Saccharomyces cerevisiae S288C: one gene and its partner. The protein of the gene in region 1 binds, or shares a complex with, the protein of each later gene. Links are inferred from orthologs where the notes say so. Each region holds a gene or a part of one and is shown in the gene's direction. Other genes may lie near its edges.

Region 1 (3,528 bases):
AGACCTTATCGCCTGTTATTGACTACCAGTATGTTGAGACGATGAAATACGGTATGCCTCCAGTAGGTGGCTTTGGCCTTGGCATAGATAGATTGTGCATGCTATTTTGCGACAAGAAGAGGATAGAAGAGGTTCTGCCCTTTGGCTGTGTGGATGATGTAAACAGGCAGTAAATTTTGCGACGCCTGCCAATGCTTTTGTAAATAAATCAGACATATACTGTAAATAATTAGAATGGCATTTAATTTTTTTTTTTTCTCTACACCAATAAACTACGCTACGCGAAAAATCCAATATAAATATTCAGTTATAGCTAATGAGAGTGTCGAAAAACCTTGAAAACAACTACTGCACACCAAATTGATACGATTAAATGGTACCCCCCACGGTAGAAGCATCCTTGGAGTCTCCTTACACTAAGTCGTACTTTTCACCTGTCCCAAGCGCGCTCTTGGAACAGAATGACTCTCCAATAATAATGGGTATCGATGAAGCTGGCAGAGGGCCCGTATTAGGGCCAATGGTCTACGCAGTAGCCTATTCTACACAGAAATATCAGGACGAAACTATAATCCCTAACTACGAGTTTGACGACTCTAAAAAACTTACAGATCCCATCAGAAGAATGCTGTTTTCCAAGATATACCAGGACAACGAAGAACTAACCCAGATCGGCTACGCAACTACGTGCATCACTCCGTTGGATATCTCTAGAGGAATGAGCAAGTTCCCACCGACGAGAAACTATAACTTGAATGAGCAGGCGCACGATGTCACAATGGCACTCATTGATGGCGTGATAAAGCAGAACGTGAAGCTCAGTCACGTGTATGTGGATACTGTTGGACCACCAGCGTCCTATCAGAAGAAACTGGAGCAACGATTTCCTGGTGTCAAGTTTACGGTCGCCAAGAAGGCAGACTCGCTCTACTGCATGGTCAGTGTGGCGAGTGTCGTTGCAAAAGTGACCAGAGATATACTAGTCGAATCCTTGAAGAGGGATCCCGATGAGATCCTGGGTTCTGGATACCCCTCCGACCCGAAGACAGTCGCATGGCTGAAGCGCAACCAGACAAGTCTTATGGGCTGGCCCGCCAACATGGTAAGATTCTCATGGCAGACATGCCAGACTCTGTTAGATGACGCCAGTAAGAATAGTATCCCTATCAAGTGGGAAGAACAATATATGGACAGCAGGAAGAACGCCGCACAAAAAACCAAGCAATTGCAGCTCCAGATGGTCGCTAAGCCTGTTAGAAGGAAGAGGCTGAGAACCCTAGATAATTGGTACCGGTGATCACCTCCAGTTTGCACATACTATATATCTTCATGTAATACTACATATGTCATAACTTCAATAACTCATACAAGTCATCTGCTACTATGCTTTGCCGTTTCTACTATCCGTGAAGCGTGACCGGCCCTTCTCACCCCCCGTGTTACGCAAAGAACAACAAGAGGTCGAGACAACCAACCGGAACGACTAGAAGAGAGGCTGTTACGTTTCCTGTTTGTTCACGCTCAACATCTTCCATTGCTGTAAACTGCATCCAGTAAAATTAATAGTTATTAGCGTACTATGTCTGCCTTTGTCAGGGTGGTTCCAAGAATATCCAGAAGTTCAGTACTCACCAGATCATTGAGACTGCAATTGAGATGCTACGCATCGTACCCAGAGCACACCATTATTGGTATGCCGGCACTGTCTCCTACGATGACGCAAGGTAATCTTGCTGCTTGGACTAAGAAGGAAGGTGACCAATTGTCTCCCGGTGAAGTTATTGCCGAAATAGAAACAGACAAGGCTCAAATGGACTTTGAGTTCCAAGAAGATGGTTACTTAGCCAAGATTCTAGTTCCTGAAGGTACAAAGGACATTCCTGTCAACAAGCCTATTGCCGTCTATGTGGAGGACAAAGCTGATGTGCCAGCTTTTAAGGACTTTAAGCTGGAGGATTCAGGTTCTGATTCAAAGACCAGTACGAAGGCTCAGCCTGCCGAACCACAGGCAGAAAAGAAACAAGAAGCGCCAGCTGAAGAGACCAAGACTTCTGCACCTGAAGCTAAGAAATCTGACGTTGCTGCTCCTCAAGGTAGGATTTTTGCCTCTCCACTTGCCAAGACTATCGCCTTGGAAAAGGGTATTTCTTTGAAGGATGTTCACGGCACTGGACCCCGCGGTAGAATTACCAAGGCTGACATTGAGTCATATCTAGAAAAGTCGTCTAAGCAGTCTTCTCAAACCAGTGGTGCTGCCGCCGCCACTCCTGCCGCCGCTACCTCAAGCACTACTGCTGGCTCTGCTCCATCGCCTTCTTCTACAGCATCATATGAGGATGTTCCAATTTCAACCATGAGAAGCATCATTGGAGAACGTTTATTGCAATCTACTCAAGGCATTCCATCATACATCGTTTCCTCCAAGATATCCATCTCCAAACTTTTGAAATTGAGACAGTCCTTGAACGCTACAGCAAACGACAAGTACAAACTGTCCATTAATGACCTATTAGTAAAAGCCATCACTGTTGCGGCTAAGAGGGTGCCAGATGCCAATGCCTACTGGTTACCTAATGAGAACGTTATCCGTAAATTCAAGAATGTCGATGTCTCAGTCGCTGTTGCCACACCAACAGGATTATTGACACCAATTGTCAAGAATTGTGAGGCCAAGGGCTTGTCGCAAATCTCTAACGAAATCAAGGAACTAGTCAAGCGTGCCAGAATAAACAAATTGGCACCAGAGGAATTCCAAGGTGGGACCATTTGCATATCCAATATGGGCATGAATAATGCTGTTAACATGTTTACTTCGATTATCAACCCACCACAGTCTACAATCTTGGCCATCGCTACTGTTGAAAGGGTCGCTGTGGAAGACGCCGCTGCTGAGAACGGATTCTCCTTTGATAACCAGGTTACCATAACAGGGACCTTTGATCATAGAACCATTGATGGCGCCAAAGGTGCAGAATTCATGAAGGAATTGAAAACTGTTATTGAAAATCCTTTGGAAATGCTATTGTGAGGTTAGAATGAAAATAAAATTCGCCAGTAAATGCGTATCTTGGAGAAAATATCAATTTGTTATTTTGTATATATAAAAAATTAAAAAAAAAAAAAAAAAAATACTCAAATACTCAAATACGTATACATTATACTGAAATACTTCGCTTGTCTTCGAATCTAAATCCTCTCTCTCTTCTGTCTCAAAATGATATAAATAAATCACGTCAAACGGTGCGTCAACATCTTTGTTTTTTCACCTCATGTGGAATTGGTTGAAATTAACAAAGGAGTGGGATATAGGATATAACGCATAAAGTTTAGCATACTACTTTCGTATATTATTGTTCGGTGAAAGAAACTAGTTCCCTCTTATCTCTCAATATTTGCCAAAATTAGCTTTTAACAAATAAACCATGAGTTTCCTACCATCTTTTATCTTAAGCGATGAATCTAAAGAACGTATTTCCAAAATTTTAACTTTGACTCATAATGTAGCACATTATGGCTGGATCCCATTTG
Region 2 (5,114 bases), on another chromosome or scaffold:
CCATTCAGAAACAGTGGAATTTGAAAAGGATCTTCCGCATTATCACACAAAGAAGGGTGTCTATATACACGGCGACACTATCGAATGTCCCGTAGCCATGTGGTTAGAGGCTCTAGATCTGGTTCTCTCGAAATATCGCGAGGCTAAATTTCCATTGAACAAAGTTATGGCCGTCTCAGGGTCCTGCCAGCAGCACGGGTCTGTCTACTGGTCCTCCCAAGCCGAATCTCTGTTAGAGCAATTGAATAAGAAACCGGAAAAAGATTTATTGCACTACGTGAGCTCTGTAGCATTTGCAAGGCAAACCGCCCCCAATTGGCAAGACCACAGTACTGCAAAGCAATGTCAAGAGTTTGAAGAGTGCATAGGTGGGCCTGAAAAAATGGCTCAATTAACAGGGTCCAGAGCCCATTTTAGATTTACTGGTCCTCAAATTCTGAAAATTGCACAATTAGAACCAGAAGCTTACGAAAAAACAAAGACCATTTCTTTAGTGTCTAATTTTTTGACTTCTATCTTAGTGGGCCATCTTGTTGAATTAGAGGAGGCAGATGCCTGTGGTATGAACCTTTATGATATACGTGAAAGAAAATTCAGTGATGAGCTACTACATCTAATTGATAGTTCTTCTAAGGATAAAACTATCAGACAAAAATTAATGAGAGCACCCATGAAAAATTTGATAGCGGGTACCATCTGTAAATATTTTATTGAGAAGTACGGTTTCAATACAAACTGCAAGGTCTCTCCCATGACTGGGGATAATTTAGCCACTATATGTTCTTTACCCCTGCGGAAGAATGACGTTCTCGTTTCCCTAGGAACAAGTACTACAGTTCTTCTGGTCACCGATAAGTATCACCCCTCTCCGAACTATCATCTTTTCATTCATCCAACTCTGCCAAACCATTATATGGGTATGATTTGTTATTGTAATGGTTCTTTGGCAAGGGAGAGGATAAGAGACGAGTTAAACAAAGAACGGGAAAATAATTATGAGAAGACTAACGATTGGACTCTTTTTAATCAAGCTGTGCTAGATGACTCAGAAAGTAGTGAAAATGAATTAGGTGTATATTTTCCTCTGGGGGAGATCGTTCCTAGCGTAAAAGCCATAAACAAAAGGGTTATCTTCAATCCAAAAACGGGTATGATTGAAAGAGAGGTGGCCAAGTTCAAAGACAAGAGGCACGATGCCAAAAATATTGTAGAATCACAGGCTTTAAGTTGCAGGGTAAGAATATCTCCCCTGCTTTCGGATTCAAACGCAAGCTCACAACAGAGACTGAACGAAGATACAATCGTGAAGTTTGATTACGATGAATCTCCGCTGCGGGACTACCTAAATAAAAGGCCAGAAAGGACTTTTTTTGTAGGTGGGGCTTCTAAAAACGATGCTATTGTGAAGAAGTTTGCTCAAGTCATTGGTGCTACAAAGGGTAATTTTAGGCTAGAAACACCAAACTCATGTGCCCTTGGTGGTTGTTATAAGGCCATGTGGTCATTGTTATATGACTCTAATAAAATTGCAGTTCCTTTTGATAAATTTCTGAATGACAATTTTCCATGGCATGTAATGGAAAGCATATCCGATGTGGATAATGAAAATTGGGATCGCTATAATTCCAAGATTGTCCCCTTAAGCGAACTGGAAAAGACTCTCATCTAAAATATGTTTGAATAATTTATCATGCCCTGACAAGTACACACAAACACAGACACATAATATACATACATATATATATATCACCGTTATTATGCGTGCACATGACAATGCCCTTGTATGTTTCGTATACTGTAGCAAGTAGTCATCATTTTGTTCCCCGTTCGGAAAATGACAAAAAGTAAAATCAATAAATGAAGAGTAAAAAACAATTTATGAAAGGGTGAGCGACCAGCAACGAGAGAGACAAATCAAATTAGCGCTTTCCAGTGAGAATATAAGAGAGCATTGAAAGAGCTAGGTTATTGTTAAATCATCTCGAGGGAAAAATTCAAAAATGCTAAGTGCAATTTCCAAAGTCTCCACTTTAAAATCATGTACAAGATATTTAACCAAATGCAACTATCATGCATCAGCTAAATTACTTGCTGTAAAGACATTTTCAATGCCTGCAATGTCTCCTACTATGGAGAAAGGGGGGATTGTGTCTTGGAAATATAAAGTTGGCGAACCATTCAGCGCGGGCGATGTGATATTAGAAGTGGAAACAGATAAATCTCAAATTGATGTGGAAGCACTGGACGATGGTAAACTAGCTAAGATCCTGAAAGATGAAGGCTCTAAAGATGTTGATGTTGGTGAACCTATTGCTTATATTGCTGATGTTGATGATGATTTAGCTACTATAAAGTTACCCCAAGAGGCCAACACCGCAAATGCGAAATCTATTGAAATTAAGAAGCCATCCGCAGATAGTACTGAAGCAACACAACAACATTTAAAAAAAGCCACAGTTACACCAATAAAAACCGTTGACGGCAGCCAAGCCAATCTTGAACAGACGCTATTACCATCCGTGTCATTACTACTGGCTGAGAACAATATATCCAAACAAAAGGCTTTGAAGGAAATTGCGCCATCTGGTTCCAACGGTAGACTATTAAAGGGTGATGTGCTAGCATACCTAGGGAAAATACCACAAGATTCGGTTAACAAGGTAACAGAATTTATCAAGAAGAACGAACGTCTCGATTTATCGAACATTAAACCTATACAGCTCAAACCAAAAATAGCCGAGCAAGCTCAAACAAAAGCTGCCGACAAGCCAAAGATTACTCCTGTAGAATTTGAAGAGCAATTAGTGTTCCATGCTCCCGCCTCTATTCCGTTTGACAAACTGAGTGAATCATTGAACTCTTTCATGAAAGAAGCTTACCAGTTCTCACACGGAACACCACTAATGGACACAAATTCGAAATACTTTGACCCTATTTTCGAGGACCTTGTCACCTTGAGCCCAAGAGAGCCAAGATTTAAATTTTCCTATGACTTGATGCAAATTCCCAAAGCTAATAACATGCAAGACACGTACGGTCAAGAAGACATATTTGACCTCTTAACAGGTTCAGACGCGACTGCCTCATCAGTAAGACCCGTTGAAAAGAACTTACCTGAAAAAAACGAATATATACTAGCGTTGAATGTTAGCGTCAACAACAAGAAGTTTAATGACGCGGAGGCCAAGGCAAAAAGATTCCTTGATTACGTAAGGGAGTTAGAATCATTTTGAATAAAAAACACGCTTTTTCAGTTCGAGTTTATCATTATCAATACTGCCATTTCAAAGAATACGTAAATAATTAATAGTAGTGATTTTCCTAACTTTATTTAGTCAAAAAATTAGCCTTTTAATTCTGCTGTAACCCGTACATGCCCAAAATAGGGGGCGGGTTACACAGAATATATAACATCGTAGGTGTCTGGGTGAACAGTTTATTCCTGGCATCCACTAAATATAATGGAGCCCGCTTTTTAAGCTGGCATCCAGAAAAAAAAAGAATCCCAGCACCAAAATATTGTTTTCTTCACCAACCATCAGTTCATAGGTCCATTCTCTTAGCGCAACTACAGAGAACAGGGGCACAAACAGGCAAAAAACGGGCACAACCTCAATGGAGTGATGCAACCTGCCTGGAGTAAATGATGACACAAGGCAATTGACCCACGCATGTATCTATCTCATTTTCTTACACCTTCTATTACCTTCTGCTCTCTCTGATTTGGAAAAAGCTGAAAAAAAAGGTTGAAACCAGTTCCCTGAAATTATTCCCCTACTTGACTAATAAGTATATAAAGACGGTAGGTATTGATTGTAATTCTGTAAATCTATTTCTTAAACTTCTTAAATTCTACTTTTATAGTTAGTCTTTTTTTTAGTTTTAAAACACCAAGAACTTAGTTTCGAATAAACACACATAAACAAACAAAATGGTTAGAGTTGCTATTAACGGTTTCGGTAGAATCGGTAGATTGGTCATGAGAATTGCTTTGTCTAGACCAAACGTCGAAGTTGTTGCTTTGAACGACCCATTCATCACCAACGACTACGCTGCTTACATGTTCAAGTACGACTCCACTCACGGTAGATACGCTGGTGAAGTTTCCCACGATGACAAGCACATCATTGTCGATGGTAAGAAGATTGCTACTTACCAAGAAAGAGACCCAGCTAACTTGCCATGGGGTTCTTCCAACGTTGACATCGCCATTGACTCCACTGGTGTTTTCAAGGAATTAGACACTGCTCAAAAGCACATTGACGCTGGTGCCAAGAAGGTTGTTATCACTGCTCCATCTTCCACCGCCCCAATGTTCGTCATGGGTGTTAACGAAGAAAAATACACTTCTGACTTGAAGATTGTTTCCAACGCTTCTTGTACCACCAACTGTTTGGCTCCATTGGCCAAGGTTATCAACGATGCTTTCGGTATTGAAGAAGGTTTGATGACCACTGTCCACTCTTTGACTGCTACTCAAAAGACTGTTGACGGTCCATCCCACAAGGACTGGAGAGGTGGTAGAACCGCTTCCGGTAACATCATCCCATCCTCCACCGGTGCTGCTAAGGCTGTCGGTAAGGTCTTGCCAGAATTGCAAGGTAAGTTGACCGGTATGGCTTTCAGAGTCCCAACCGTCGATGTCTCCGTTGTTGACTTGACTGTCAAGTTGAACAAGGAAACCACCTACGATGAAATCAAGAAGGTTGTTAAGGCTGCCGCTGAAGGTAAGTTGAAGGGTGTTTTGGGTTACACCGAAGACGCTGTTGTCTCCTCTGACTTCTTGGGTGACTCTCACTCTTCCATCTTCGATGCTTCCGCTGGTATCCAATTGTCTCCAAAGTTCGTCAAGTTGGTCTCCTGGTACGACAACGAATACGGTTACTCTACCAGAGTTGTCGACTTGGTTGAACACGTTGCCAAGGCTTAAGTGAATTTACTTTAAATCTTGCATTTAAATAAATTTTCTTTTTATAGCTTTATGACTTAGTTTCAATTTATATACTATTTTAATGACATTTTCGATTCATTGATTGAAAGCTTTGTGTTTTTTCTTGATGCGCTATTGCATTGTTCTTGTCTTTTTCGCCACATGTAATATCTGTAGTAGATAC

Evidence for each region. The genes of interacting proteins can lie anywhere in the genome.
Region 2: the proteins of LAT1 (region 1) and PDX1 are in contact, whole or in part, in a cryo-EM structure (PDB 8OHS), measured with the Neurospora crassa proteins. The link is inferred for Saccharomyces cerevisiae S288C from one-to-one orthologs. Residues at the interface, in XP_962786.1 of Neurospora crassa: Lys263, Lys266, Leu267, Gln269, Ala270, Pro453, Leu454; in XP_956161.2 of Neurospora crassa: Leu323, Gln326, Val327, Leu328, Lys332.

Annotation. Positions count from the first base shown.
Region 1 is NC_001146.8:489,944-493,471, forward strand, and holds LAT1 (dihydrolipoyllysine-residue acetyltransferase), read left to right. Parts: upstream 1-1,579; coding exon 1,580-3,028; downstream 3,029-3,528. Other genes in the region: lysine--tRNA ligase MSK1, read left to right, coding at 1-173; ribonuclease H2 catalytic subunit RNH201, read left to right, coding at 374-1,297; TOM7 (Tom7p), read left to right, coding at 3,423-3,528. UniProt on the Saccharomyces cerevisiae protein: The pyruvate dehydrogenase complex catalyzes the overall conversion of pyruvate to acetyl-CoA and CO(2).
Region 2 is NC_001139.9:882,628-887,741, reverse strand, and holds PDX1 (Pdx1p), read left to right. Parts: upstream 1-2,000; coding exon 2,001-3,233; downstream 3,234-5,114. Other genes in the region: XKS1 (xylulokinase), read left to right, coding at 1-1,669; glyceraldehyde-3-phosphate dehydrogenase (phosphorylating) TDH3, read left to right, coding at 3,932-4,930. UniProt on the Saccharomyces cerevisiae protein: Required for anchoring dihydrolipoamide dehydrogenase (E3) to the dihydrolipoamide transacetylase (E2) core of the pyruvate dehydrogenase complexes of eukaryotes. This specific binding is essential for a functional PDH complex.